Oreochromis niloticus: one gene and its partner. The protein of the gene in region 1 purifies or fractionates together with the protein of each later gene. This does not show direct contact. Links are inferred from orthologs where the notes say so. Each region holds a gene or a part of one and is shown on either strand. Other genes may lie near its edges.

What was found. Proteins that work in one complex are often made in the same cells at the same time.
Region 2: the proteins of eif3ba (region 1) and mtor purify together in Homo sapiens (affinity purification with western blotting; 3 studies listed by BioGRID and IntAct, with this or other methods). This does not show direct contact. The link is inferred for Oreochromis niloticus from reciprocal best matches to the Homo sapiens genes EIF3B and MTOR.

What each region holds. Positions count from the first base shown.
Region 1 is NC_031971.2:13,426,060-13,432,999, forward strand, and holds the start of eif3ba (eukaryotic translation initiation factor 3, subunit Ba), read right to left. Parts: upstream 3,041-6,940; 5' UTR 3,002-3,040; coding exon 2,902-3,001; intron 1,895-2,901; coding exon 1,702-1,894; intron 1,577-1,701; coding exon 1,457-1,576; intron 1,367-1,456; coding exon 1,309-1,366; intron 1,129-1,308; coding exon 1,000-1,128; intron 885-999; coding exon 727-884; intron 472-726; coding exon 340-471; intron 239-339; coding exon 172-238; intron 78-171; coding exon 31-77; intron 1-30. Other genes in the region: integrator complex assembly factor BRAT1, read left to right, coding at 3,543-3,669, 4,342-4,490, 4,586-4,733, 4,963-5,419, 5,742-5,849, 5,993-6,084, 6,171-6,274, 6,656-6,842.
Region 2 is NC_031984.2:28,352,377-28,360,315, reverse strand, and holds the start of mtor (serine/threonine-protein kinase mTOR), read right to left. Parts: upstream 3,015-7,939; 5' UTR 2,872-3,014; exon of another isoform or gene 2,842-2,871; intron 2,425-2,841; 5' UTR 2,411-2,424; coding exon 2,282-2,410; intron 2,098-2,281; coding exon 1,989-2,097; intron 1,875-1,988; coding exon 1,642-1,874; intron 1-1,641. UniProt on the Homo sapiens protein: Serine/threonine protein kinase which is a central regulator of cellular metabolism, growth and survival in response to hormones, growth factors, nutrients, energy and stress signals.

The DNA of each region.
Region 1 (6,940 bases):
TTAAAGCATGAGCGCATGAAGGACTCTTACTTTATCCCAGTAATCTTGAGACTCTTCTTGTCCAGCAAGCCCATAGACTACAAGAAGAAAAAAACAAAACAAAATATAAACCTTTAATATCATTTGAACATTTCATTTAAACGCATCTAGACTGTTTTCAGGCCTACTTACCGGAGTTTCATAGATACTCAGTGTGTCTGGTGTCATCCTTGCAAAGAACTTCCCATCATGGCTCCATCTGATAACAAACATGTAAAATTAGAAGACACATCCAAACTCTGCAAGAAGCAGCAAATTTGATTTAAATTAGATTTAAAAGAGAGAAAGCATAATACGGACTTAAAAATAGGCCAATGTGCAGAACTCTCGCAGTGGAACCCTCTCTTCTTCTGTCCGGTCAGAATGTCCCAGATGATGATGGCCTGTGGGTCCTCCTTGGTGTCCATCAGTGGACTGAAGGTCACCACATACCTGGAAGCCAGCACAACCACACATTAAGCTCAGACTGTGGCTCACAGGCCAACTCGGCACCTCTTTAGAGTGCTTTATCTGCACATTAATCATCCTTTGCTGTCCCCATGTCATGGTGCAACAACCCATAGGATTTAGGTGACGTTGCCTTATTTACAGGAAATAAATAAATCACTAATGAATAAACACTTGAACGGGATACTCTATAATATAACTATAATGTGCTTCTTTGGATTAAAGTCGACTTTTGATTACCTTTCACATGGTGAGAAGTCGATGAGGGACACACCCTGATGGCTGAACCTCTGAATCTGTTTGAACTTCTCGCCGCCCCACAGTGCAATTCCCCGCTGGTGGAACGTAGCCAGGTAGGTACCTTTAGGAGACCATCGGACGTACGTCTCTGTCCAGCGCTGCATCAAAGCAGGAAAAACATCAGAACTCTCCAAACCAGTGACTACTGACCAGTCATGTTTGATACGAGCCCTGCATTTCCCACCAACTCTGCGTGAGTAATTAAAAACTCACCGCTCTCTCTTCAACTGTGATTGGCTCTTTAGCGTCGTTGGAGAAAATGGCAGTCCTCTCTCCAGCTTCATAAATCACACTGTACTGGTCACGGCAATCTGGGTCCTCGATCCAATGGCGCATATTCCCCTGAAAACACAAACAGAGTTATTGTCGCTTGCACGGTTTCAGGATAGAGACTGTCCTGTCGATTTATGAAGGTCAACTTAATAATGAAAGTGCTGACATGAAGCTATTTTTGCCAAACTAATTCTAAGTGTTATAAACTGATTCATTATATTATGACTGAAAAGTTAAGGTAACACTTACAAAGTCTTTGAAAGGCTGCTTTGCTGGAGCTTCCCATTCATCGCTGATGTTCATGTATCTGAGAAAAACAAAGGTACGATTATTTACTTGTATTCCAAGTCTGGCAAGCAATACCTGGACAATGCATTGAGTGGTACTGCATACTCACTTGTCAAAGTCAGTGAAGAGGTTGACCCTAAACGTGTGCTGCTTGTCGAGTTTATATCCATCTGCGTTCTTGACTGCTTCGAGGGCTTGAGTAGGAGAAGCATACTCCAGGAAGATGTAACTGTAAACGAGGAGAAAAAACAATTACTAAAAAACAAAACAAAAACTCTGCTTCAAATCCGGAAATCCACCTTGAATCAAAATAGATGCACAAAAGAACATAGAAGAAAACAACTGCGGTCATACCCTTTGGTCATACCATCCGCCTCTGGGTAAAACTCAGTCGTGATCTTGCCAAACTTGGAGAAGATCTTGTGTATGACGTTCTTGAGCTTTTCCAAACGCTCCGGGCCGACCTGAGGGACGTTGTCCACCACCACCACCGAGTCTATGCCGTCTGCCTCCTGGGGTTTCTCCCTCAGGATGTCATCAAGAAGCTCTGAAAAGTGAAGGAGGAGGGTCAGGGTGATGAACAAGCTGATAGGACTGTGTGGGGTTGGGGTTCTCATCTCATTTTAATGTCGACCTTCTTTTCATATACATGAACCAATCTAAACTTTATAGCCACCACTTCAGTTACTGGAAGGGAAGACTGCATCGTTGAAACAAACAATTCTTTTGTTTAAATTTTCTTTAGAGATGTGCAGGTTTAAGCTTCATGATTTATAAGTAGACAAAATATAATTACATCATAATAAAGTTAATTCAATAGTACATCTCCTTTACACTCACTGCTTAATACACATCATTTTGATAAGGATAAAGAACCGCTATGCTGGCGTGTTTAGCTTCACAGAAGCTATTTCATTTGTGTCCTTGTTTAACTTCAGCAAATTAATATTAAATGGTACCAATTTTGTTGTAAATTTACCCCAAGGTTTCTACTATACATAAATAATTATATTGTGACTACTAAGTACAAAACACGTGTATCTGATGAGTCATTTTACCACAACTGCAAAACTTGCACAATTGAAAAGCTCTAATGAGCAAACGCCCCTCAGACCTGGGTTAGGATTACCATTGAGCTACAACCAGCTGCCCCATTTAAACTACTTTATATAAGCAAACAGCACAGAGAAAATAATGTGCCCTAACGGCTTTACTAGCTAAAATCCTGTTTCGGTTTTTCAGATCGTATCGCACAGGCCCCAGTGAGTGGCTGTGTGGGGTCTGGGTGAGGCTTTAACGGGCGTTAAGTACACTGTGATAACGTTATGTTGGGAGTTTTTTGGAGAAAAAGGGTGGTGTCGCTGTTGTATTCCTGGTAATTACGCTTATGCATCCAGCTCATGGTCACTGTTCACTATTTACTATTACTACGTGCCGGTGACCAGAGAGGCTAGCTAACTAGCTTTGTAGCATCTAAAACATCCCCACCATTGAGCTCTTAGCTAACTGCTAACAGCAGGCCGGAAAGCCGGCGTTTTTCCTGTGACTACTTACCGTCGTCATCCACATCGTCCACGTAGTCCTCCGGGTCGCTGAAGGAAGGCTCCTCCTCTTCATACTCGGGGTCGTCCACCATATCCACCGTTTCTTTCATTTAACAGAACTACAACACGGACTTTTGTCTACAGCGGAGCAAAAATCCCGAAAACGAAAAGGCTGGCGATCCTCAGCCGGTGCAGCACCATGTGCGGATCCGTGAAAATGGACGACGTGACGGAAACGCGACACCGGAACCTCCTCAAAGGCGCGTGAAAAGGCTGCGCAGAAGCAGTAAAGCTGTAAAGCATAGGGACCGGAAGTACAACAGCTACTGGTGGTAATTTTCCCCCACAGTGATGTTTAGAGATCAGCGAAGAGCGCAGCGGCGTGAGACCCGCCCAGAAGCACGGAAAAGGAAACGACGCACCGGTAGATCCGAAACTGTTTCCCGCGAGACGTTCGTTTAGTAAAGTACAAAAAACAACGACTTTGTGTGTTTAAAGTGGCTGCTTCAGTTTGGTCTGTACTGCATAATTTAGCTAGAGGTCACATTTACATCCACATGAGTGGTTAGATAATGTGTAGACTTTATATAACTCCTAGCTGTAAAAACCTAAGCTAGCAACGGCGGTTATTAACACGCACACCTTAGCCCCATGGACAGAGAGTGTGTGTCACTGCTGCCCCGGGTCTGTGAGGTGCTGGCGGCCTCAGGGAGCTCGCTGCCCGATGACACCATTCTGGAGAAACTGCTGGACTGGTTCACAGCGCTCACCGAGGCTGGTTAGTAGTACTGACCCTAACAGGATCGTGTCTTTATTCTTCCTCCTCTCCCACTATCTTTCTAATAGGAGGATCAATTCAAATATTATATTGTTAAAAGTATCGATACCATCTAATCGATACTTTATTTCTATATTCTAAGTTCAGTGTGTAACCCTCTGACCTGGGTTGAATAACAAATATTTTGTAAATGAAACAAACATGTGATGACTGTCTTTTTTGTGTTGACTGTCACTTCTGCTTGATTTAAAGCCTATAGCATATTTGAACGACACAAGCTGAGACAGAGACAAGCACATTTACATTCCAGTTCTCCGAAAAAAAACCAGCTTCAAAATACATGAAAAGCTGAAAGGTGTGTTTTAAAGAGCCCTCATTCTCCAGAGAACTGATCTAAACTTAATACCATGCAGCGAATCACTGTATTTGTAGGTGATTATTACTCAGATTATATCACCGATATTTGCAGATAACATTTACATTTTGTAAAAGATCCCAAAACTCAAAGATACTTATATATATGTTATATTGCATTAATAAAGATAAATTTAAATTTAAAATGTTCCTTTTTCATGTCTTTTGTACCTTTATCATTTCTCTTTATGGTGCACATAAAAAAGTGATCCCGTGTAAATCTGTATCCTTGTTTTTCTTTTCTTTCACTCTTTGAAGGGGAGTCTCTGCTGGAGGCCTGTCCGTGTCTGCTTGAGTTCATATCTGCTGTGATTCATGACACGGCTTCAGCCCCAGGTGTCCTCTCCTTCACTCTCAGACTCATCGGCTTATTGGCTGCTGCTGAGGACGCCTTCAGAATTCTTAAGGTAGAGCTTCTGACGCCTGGTGTATTTAGTAAACTGTTACAAAATATTCCAATGCTTATCTGCCCTATCATTGTGCCTCCCTCTCTCTCTTGCAGGAGTCCTTAGTTCTGGATCTTGTCTTTAGCTGTAAGCACTGGCAGGAGTTAGGGCTCTGGGAGGATCCCTGCATACGGATTGGCTGGATCCAGGGCTTAAGGACCACACTGCAGCATCCAAATGGTCTTAGTTTCTTTATACAAGCAGGTGAGTTTTTTGCATCGATTCATGAGGGGGGGATCATTAGTATTAAGGATAATATGCTATTTCTATTCGTCCTTTCATTTGTTTGCTCCTGCATATCAAATTCAGGGTCACTGGGGGCTGGATCATTCCCAGCTGCCATAGGGCGAGAGGCACTGTGCTATAGGTATTATATTGTTGTAATTCTGATGCATCCTCATATATATGTATTATATTTGTTTGGTTTTTTTAGATTTCATTGAGCCACTTCTGCAACTCCAGACAGACACAAGCCTATTTGTTGCCTCAGCTGCCAATCAAATGCTCGCCCACGTCCTGCTCTTCTGTCAGCCTGTCTCATCTGTAGGATGTAATGGCACCGATAAGAAGGAAGATGAGCAGAACACACGTGCGTCCAAAGCAGTTGTAGAAAACCCAGCCGAGCCCATGGAAATAAACCAAGATTGCACCGCTGTTGTCGATGCAATCTCAGAGTACCTCAAGAGGGCGCTGGGGGTTCCCAAGGGAAGCACACAGCTTCATCAGTGTCAGCAGACTCTCAGACTGCTGGCTCTGCTCCTGGGCCAGACCAAGCCTCCTCTGCGGGACAAGCTGCTGCAGACAGTCACAGCTTCTCTGGAAGAAATGGTGGCAGCAGATTGTTGTGAACTCACACTGCCTCTGATGGATGTCATTCTAGCTGCATGCAGGTAAACCCCTCATAAAACACAGGAGAGTGTCGCTTTATAGAGTTGTCTGTCCTTTTTTGTCTCTACTAGAGATTATTTGGATTTTAAGTAGTGACTTTAAGAGGAAGGTGAGGACAGTGGAGCTTCCTGGCTGAATATGCAAATCTGCTAATAGATATAGCATCGATGGCTTTGTTCTATTGATCTATGCAATACCACAGGACAGTGTAATGGTCAGCCATCATCCACAGCATTTACCTAGTGGTTGTTTTTAAGTATACATTAGTGACTGTGCTGCTGTTCAGGTTTAGTTTATAGACTCTTGCTGTGCTTGCTTCTGCAGCCGCCTCCCAGACCAACGCATCACCCGTCTTTTAACTTTCATGTTGAACGCCAGGAAACCTGCTGACCTCGTCCATGCTGCAGCTGCTTTTCTCCGCGGCGGCCATCAGTAAGCACAGCTTCTTCAGCCAACACAAACTCTGTACACGAACGTCTGTAGAGGTTGGGTTTTCTGTTAAAAACCCATGGGGATTTGTCATTATAGTATCTGTCTACAAAATATTGTTCCTTTTCTTCTGGTTTTATGTGCAGTGACCGTGTCCACACAGCTCAGTCTGTGAGATTACTGCTGCTACCCCTCGACATCATATCTGGCCAGAACCTACTAGGCACAAACACTGCAGGTGACCCACAAAGACGTACACTCTTGAGAAAAATCTGTGTTATCTTGCATTTATGCTATGGAGTAACATGAGATCTGGGCCTGTAGGAGACATGCATCGGTTTGCCATGACTGAGCAGCTGAAGAGCAAAACCTCCTGCATCTCCATGATCAGTGTGTGTCTAACAAACACACCTCAGATCGCACACATGGTGAGTGTAAGGACAGGAGAGAGTGGCTAAGTAAATATTGGATCTTTTTCAGTTAACACTTTATAATTTTTAATTCCTCTGTAATAAAATAGACTTTTTAGGGTATTTTATTTGTAATTACAATGTAATTATATTTACATACACACAATTAAAGCCAGGCACACTAGAATAAGGGGATAACATGTATAATAATAATTCTTTCCTGTACTGTACACTTGTGTACCTAGCATTAAGTAGCTGTATGTAAACATAATTACATTGTAATTTCTGATAAAATCTGAATGATAGAAGTAACAAGCCCTCAGTCGCAGGCCGTGTTATAAGGTGTTAGCTTTTTTTTCTAACACATGGAAAGGCTTATAATCTCCCTCTCTCCCACAGGATCCTGACTGCCTCCCCTGCGCTCCGGATTTAATCGTGTCTGGAATTCTGTCGTTACTGAGGATCTGCAGTGGCGACTCGTTCTCCTCGTCCGCTGGCTGTAGTGAAGTTTTCAGGAATGTCATTGGCAGTGGGAAAGTTCAGAAATGTGCTCTAGAGGCTCTGACAGCTGTCAGTAACAGCCCAGGTAAAGCTGTCATTAGAGTTAGAATCCATATTACATGAATGAAACTAAAAGGGAATACTGAAAACAAACAAGTTTCTTTATGGAGGATATAAAGACCT
Region 2 (7,939 bases), on another chromosome or scaffold:
AGCACTGACCACACTGTGTTCCTACTGATACATGAATGGCTCCATCTTGCTAAGGAGCAAAAAAGATCCTGTTTTTCTTTACTTTTTCAATTTTACTGCTGGAACACATTCAACTTGGGAGTGAAATCACTGATCTCTTTACACAACCAATCCTATGTGTGTTCTTCTGACCGTTTACCCATGCTTAGTGCATTTTGATCACTTAAATTTTTTAGCTTGTAGGATTTGTTGTGTGGACAGTACGGTAGCACTGTTGCCTCACAGCAAGAAGGTCCTGAGTTCAATTCCACCATCAGGCTTTCTGTGTGGAGTTTACATGTTCTCCCCGTGTTTGCGTGGGTTTTCCCCAGGTACTCCGACTTCCTCCCACAGTCCAAAGACATGCACTTTGTGGGGATAGGTTAATTGAAAAATCTAAATTGTCCATAGGAGTGAATGTAAGTGCGAATGGTTGTCTGTCCCTGTGTGTTAGCCCTGTGACTGGCTACCTGTCCAGGATGTACCCCGCCTCTTGCCCTATGACAGCTGGGATAGGCTCAATCGCCCCCCGCAACCCTAAAAAGGATAAGCGGAAGCGAATGGATGGATGGATTTGTTGTGTTCTTTGTTTCTGGCACTGATTGCAGCTCAACCATGAATTTTAGTTTTTTTATTGCCAATTTGGTTTTCATCTCCCTTTTCCATATCTCCGTGCTCTTTTATAGTTATTTCCCAACAACATCATGTGGACATTCTGGGGAAAGTAACTAGATTTAATATTCTACAGCCAGTAAAAATGTGAAAATGGTAATTGCATAATAAGCTAAATAAAACACAGCAAAGGCAAGCACATTCTCTGATTTCTAATTATTTCTATGTTCAGGATTGTTCTGGACTGTGCGTGTGATGCCCCAGCCAATAATAACAGTGTCTGGGGTCGGTACTCTATAAAAACATAGTGACCGGGTTGCATCAACATCTCATCAAGCTTCTCTCCTGGGAGGTTTTGCTGATGCCACAGCTGGGCGACACCCACCCACACGCACACAGAACAGAGCAAAGAGGCCACAGTGAAGAGGATGAAGGATTCACCCTGGTTGCATGCACACATAATCTAGCAAAGGTGCACCTTGAACACTGCGTTGTGCGGAGGTGTAAACATGTTTGTGCACTTCAGAATGTAGGCATTGAGAAAATTTTTAAAAATATGTTTTAGGAAGCTTCACTACTCTCCAGCTCACTCCAACACCACAAGCAAGTTGTAGCCAGAGAGCAGAGGCCACATATTTTAGACCTTTAAACCACATGCAGCTGCATAACAACAGCTATGTAACAACAACTGCTTGATGCAACCATCAAGGAGGAAAATATTAATGAAACGGTTACAAGGGCATGAGCAGATTTATAAAGGAAACATTTTAGCAGGGAAAACAGAACAAGAATGTGCTGATATTTGGGGTATGAGAGTGCATATGAAGTACTACTTGTGCCTTCAACCCAAAATACACTAGAGCAACTTTCAACACTGCCTTCACTACAGCAATAGATAAAGTTATTACAGCTCCCAACGTGCCCACATTTCCAGCACATGTAAACACCACCAATATGTGGTTTTATTTGAACAGCAAACACCACAGTGACTGTTGTCTGCTAGTGACTTACTGCAGCATGGCGTCTCCCTTCATTTCTGTCGGCTCCCAACCATTCCAGAGCTCTCTTCACTTCAAACTCCACATACTCAGCTGTAAAGGTGTCCCCCGCCATAGAAAGGTGGCCCATAGCTTTAGAGGCCATCTCCATCACCACGGGGTCGCTGGAAGGGAGCAGGTTGCGGAGGTAGTTGGCGAATCGACTGATCCTGGTGGCATTGCCTCCTTCAACTCCAATTAGACTCACTGATGAAAACAATAATCATTTTAAAGTGATAGAAAATAAGAGATCTTAAATAAGTCCAAAATTAACAGCGCTTAAAAATATAACAATTTTAACAACCTTTTATTAATGCTTACCTATGGCAAGAATCCCTCCTTTCTTTTCATTCACATCAGAGCTGGACACCAGCTCAAATATGTGGTGGTTCAACTCATCGTAGAACGTAGTAGCTTCATCTTGGCTTAACTGTGGGACAAGTGTCAAAACAGCAAGTATGGAAAAAGGAAGGAATTGTTTACATGAATTTGTACCATATGACTTGTGAAACTCTCCAACTGTAGTGGGCAACAATCTTGATTAAGTATCCAGTATACTAAGTGGTTTTCCCATGACAGCTTTCAATTATGCACATATAGGTTATTGCTGTTACCTCTCTGAGTTCTGTAGTCACATAGTGCTGCAGGTCTTTGGCAGATTTTGCTCGAGTGTCTTCATTTCGACTCTTCAGTCCACTGACAAACTGCTGCAGCACAGTGGCTGTGCCTGATATGACCACCATTTGGACGGCCTAATCTGCATGGGGGAGGGCGACATATGTGGTTTCAATGCAACATTCCGGGTTATTAAACAACCAGTATCTAAAAACAACAACAAGGTAAACAGTACACATGGAAAGAAGGAATGCAAGTGCTAATCTGATAAAACACCAGGTTAATGTTATTAACTGACATTGGTCCCAGCTAGCTAACGTGCCTGGTTAGCTAATAAAACAAGCTGCAAAGCTTGCTAGTTATTAGGAAACATACATCATACTTCTTAACACAACTAATACAAAAGCGGACACGCCCGTGTAGTTGCGGTGTAATAGGTGAAACCGGAGCCTCGTGAGTGTTTCGTGCTTGTTTTGATTAGCTCAAGCTAGTGCTAATGTTAACCTATTTCCCGTGACAACCCAATAGCAAGGAGGCAAAGTCGCTTTGTATCACTTACGTGTTTGTATTACAATGCCGAACACTTAACTGCTATTCGATTTATCCGGAATATCTCTCATTGTACGTCTACCTGGCCAACACTGCGCAAGGTTGGCTAGCTGATGAATTAGCTCGAGTTAGCGATACACACACGGAACTTCACAAGCGTCAAGTTGCGCAGTCTGCGCTGAGCTGAGCGCAACTCACACGTCCTTGAGTGTAGTTTCGAGAGCCTCTCGTCTTTTTATGTGAATGTTTTTTGAGGCCCAGTACTCCAGTTACCTCAACATTTTTACTCCAGTAAACCTTTAAAATTATGGTGGACGAATGTTACTTATAATTTAACAATCTACACTTATAGTTTGTGCTCTTCCCCTGACTAAATGTCATTAAATGTCATTAATCTGGAGCACTACAGGCAGACTTAGTCTCATGGTGTAGCTACTTAATAACATTAATGATAGTCGCTTTGGTTCAACAACAATAAGTACAAAGCAGCCTTGTAAGAACATTTATAGCTCCATAATGGAGGCCTTTCATACATTTGTTTTTTATATATATAAGTTTTGAACTATCTGTAGTCTATATATTTTTTCTTTCTTTTTTTTCTTGAATACTAAAACAGCAGGGAATATTTTCCCTTAACTGTCTCCATACTTGTCATGTCAGGGAGTTTTTTTGTTTGGTTTTTTTTTTGTTGTTGTTGTTGTTTTCAGCTTTTGATCTGGTGGAGGAAATGGGCCCAATACTGCTGAGAATTTAGATAATTTAATAAGATATACAGTATAAGCATATTAGAATTTCTAGAAACAAGAGGTACACAGACTATACAGCTTTGATCTCCTCAGGACATGAATGAAAATACACTTTAAATGCAGATAATAATAAGTGTACAAAAAGCGTCCACTGCGTGCAGCAGCCCTGTGTGGCTGTTTTTTATTTTGCTGTTCAACTTACAGCCTCTTGGGGGAGACATTGACCAGGCATACAGACACCTTGCAGTATTAAAGAAACATGTCTGGCTCTACGTGGTTCTACATGAGCGGTGACATTTACCATAGTGCAGCACACCAATTAAGCGAGTACCCTCTTATTTCCCACTTGTAGGAAATTGGAGCCTAAATGTCAAATGAATTTTCATCATCAAAATGAACCACAGCTACTGTCTTTCTCCCCATGAGATCATTATAGGAGATAATTTCTCACTAGCAAACAATGTACTGTATGCCCATTGTTCCCACCCTGGGGTTTGGGGCCCAAGGGTGTTCCTTTAGAGGTGTCAGGAGGTCCCATCATCCAACACAATCACCAATTCTTCTAACTTATCAATGAATTTTACACCTGCAAAACAATCGGACTGATCCTGGAGTTTTTACTTTATGTATTTCAGCATACACGTGTGCAGCTATTGCACACCTGGCATTAAAACATGCAAGGAGACACCTGCATTTTTTCAAGTTCAGAAAAACAGCAGTAGCAAGTTTGTGTAATGACAGAGAAAAACACCCATAAAACCCACACATTTATAATGGATTATAACAGTAGAACTGAGAGCACTGGATCAGTCAGTATCACTGTGAGCCATCCTGTCATTTTGAAATGCTGAATTAATTTCAGTCATTACTGACAGTGAACCTTTCATTTGGAATTACAACCATAGTTGAAAAGTTTCTCTTTAACAGCTTTAAAAGAAAAAAGATCATCACTTAATATGAAGAGCAATGCCACACTTTAACAGGATCTCTTCAGGTTTACTAAATGAAACAACCACTTCTTACTTTCATTCTAATAGATGGATCATAATAGTGAAGATGGATCATCATTTGCTTTGGAATAACCATTTGTCATAGTCCTTCTTGCACATTTTTCTTGTGCCAAATTAAATGCATTTGAGGTCCTGTGGCACATGAAGTAAATCAAACACTGATCAGTTTATTGCTGTAATCGGCAGAGCTGCAACTTCTGTGAGCATGCGTGCATCATGTATGTGCAAATGTGTGGTGCAAATACAAATGTGCGTGTTAATGTGTAAATGCTGTGTAAATGCAGCTATGGGTTTGTGGTTTTGCAATGGGAGGAGAACCAGAAAGAGAGCTTTTACAGCCTTACAGCGCTTTACGTGGAGAAAATGAAGCTTTTAACAACACAGGAAAGAGGAACAGATTCCTACTTTTCTACCCAAGGCCCTCCTCCCTCCCTATCGTAGGTGTAGCTGGGCCAGACATATTTCACCCATCAGACACCAACTCATTCAATCGGGAAGACTCACCTTTGTGTCAAACATGTGCTTTCACTGAAAAGTTCTTGTGCGTGAGACAGAGGGGAAAAAAGACTTGGATGGTGCTTAAATGGTATTAAAAAACCCACATACATGCAGTCAGTTGACTTCAACACGCACATATAAACCCACTTCAGCGCCACAAATGTATGTACACTCACAGCTGCAGAGGCTCTTGTCCTAACAAGCAGCCGGCCTCCTCTGCTAAGTGACAGACAGGATATTGGGTGCACTTTCATCAGTCCAAGGCTTTGATTCGTCTGCCATCCATCCTGTTTATTTTCTGCTTTGCCTCTTCACTCAGCCGCACTTTTGAAATATTTCCCCCACGATGAAGCCTGTCATTCCATTTACACTGAAGGATGGAGAGAGTCAGGAGGGGAAGGGGGAAAAAAGCACTCGCTTCTGCACTAGCTCCTCCACCTACCTTATTCATCTGCCATCTATCCATCTGTTAATCCTTCCCACCTTCATCCTTCCCTCCCCCTGTCAAATGCTTCATGATTTATCCCCCACCACTTCTCCATATTCTTTCCCTTTTCTTTTTGCAGTATCCACAAGTTCTCTGGGGGTTTTTTGTTGCGTTTTTTTTTGTTGCCGTTTTTTTGTGTGGTTGGGCGGTGTAGTATGAGTCACAGATTCCTGGACAAGAATTCATGAGGTAACATCTGGTTCTAAATGCTAGAGGCAGCTCTTATCCCCTACCTGGCTGCAGCCCAACACTATATCCTGGTCTGAATGTGTTATATCTTACCCACCTGCCTGGGCAACACATTTTTTGATACCTTCACTACCTATTATGCCTGTGTTAGAGGGAGACACCTGGATAACCACAAAGCATTAATTCCAACATAGGGATAGGGGTTTTGCTCTTCCCATTGTGTGTGAAAGCACTGTAAAGCCCAGCAAAGCTATGATGGAGCAATATGGCAGTCAAGCAAAAACAATACAAACAGCACTCTGTGCTGATAGACTTAACTTCTTACTAGAAAAGCAAAGAATTAGAGATCTCTAAATCTTTAGATCAGTATCTATCGTGTCCTTTTGATGAATACAGGTAGGTCTAAATTTAGTCACTGCAGGAGATTTAAATGATTCTGAACTGAATCAGCAAAGCTGAGCAGATGAAAAAAAAGTGCAAAGTAGCTCAGAGACAATGTAGAGGGCAATTACCTAATGAAACCTGACAGGCATTTTAGATCAAATAGAGTCTACAGAGGAGAAATCCATGATGACGCTGCACTTTCTTGTCACAGTGCTTAGTTTGTCTTCTGGCACACTGCTCAGCTCCCTGAAGGGCAGCTACACATACACCCACAGAGTCAGTCTATTGATCAAGTTTCCTTCCCCTGCCAAGTCATATAGATCAAACACTATTGCTAATCCATGAATCACATTGCAGGGGAAACCTAAAACCAGCTTATGGAAATGAGGATCCTCTTTGACATTGAGTTCCTGTACATCAAAAAGTCCTTAATCAGGAGGTATAACAGTGTTTGCTGGTGCCGTTGGCTGAAAATAGTATTAGTGTTTACATAAAGGCATTACTCATCATATCCACTACAGGCCTGTGTCTTGTTCTTTGGTAATCATTTTATTACGGTGGGATTCAATATGTCAAACAGAGGGAAGATGGCACAGTTCTCTAATAGTGAATCCGAGTAGCCAATTTCACATCAAAATGGTGTCATTACCGATGGAGCAACTGAAGTATAGCCGACAGACACAGAATACAAAATCAGCTCTATGGCAGTGACTGAATCACCGGGAGTCAGACAGGTTTTGATCTTGCCGTTCATCTCCAATGGCGTCCGCGTTCGCAGTGGACTAATTTCCTAATGCACTCTGGTGAGCGCCTGCCAAAGAGCACACTGGGAATGAATGAATGGTATCCATTAGACAAAATGGCCTTCTGTAAATTGTGGCCACTCTGCATAAATGAGCGGGAGCTGGGCGGGAGCAGGAGCAGATGGATGGAGAGGTCCCGTAACAAACTAATGGAAGCAGACCTGCGATCATTCACTGCTGCCCTGCTGTCAGCACGGTCAGTGAACAGTTTACAGCTGGTTTTAAACATAATGACTTGCAGAAACTTTTTCAAGTTGGCGTTTACTGACCCTACTTTGAGAGAATTTGTCAACTAAGGTCCACCTTAGTACTGATGTCTATCAAGTTTGTGTGGAGACATCACAGATACAATCCGCCCTAAGTAGTCAATACAGTAGGTATGTGTGACATGACTTATTTGACATGAGGAAGTAGGGGGATTTTATCTGGCTGGCTATCTATGAGGTGGATAGACAGTCTACATGGTGTTCTTCACTGACACTCTTTTCTCTTGTTCCCACTTAGCCTTATCTCAGATAAGACAGATAATAATGGTGGTAGAAAACCTCAAGGAGCACAAGGTTATCATTTATATTTAAAATTAGAATTAGAATTAGCTCACGGGCACGTCACTGCAGCCCCCTCTGGCTTCTGCTCCATGGCTGCTGGGTGACCCCTTGTCTGGGGCTCTCCTCAGCTCTTTCCAGGAGGGTGGCATGGTTGCCCCTCCGTTGGTCTTCCTTGGACTCGTGCGCTCTGGGGGCCTATGGATGTCTGGAGAGTGGATCTCCTCCATACCTGCTTCACGCCCTGGGGGACGGGGCTATGGCTCCCCACACCCTCTAGCAGATCGTTACACGAAGGAACCTTTTGAATACAAGCGCGCTCATGCTCACAGGTGTACACACGAGTGCTCACAGACACAAACTACACCTTTCTTGGCTGCTACCTCAAAACACACTGTGCGTTGTCGAGCTTACGTGCTGCACAATAATATTCAATATTTAGTATT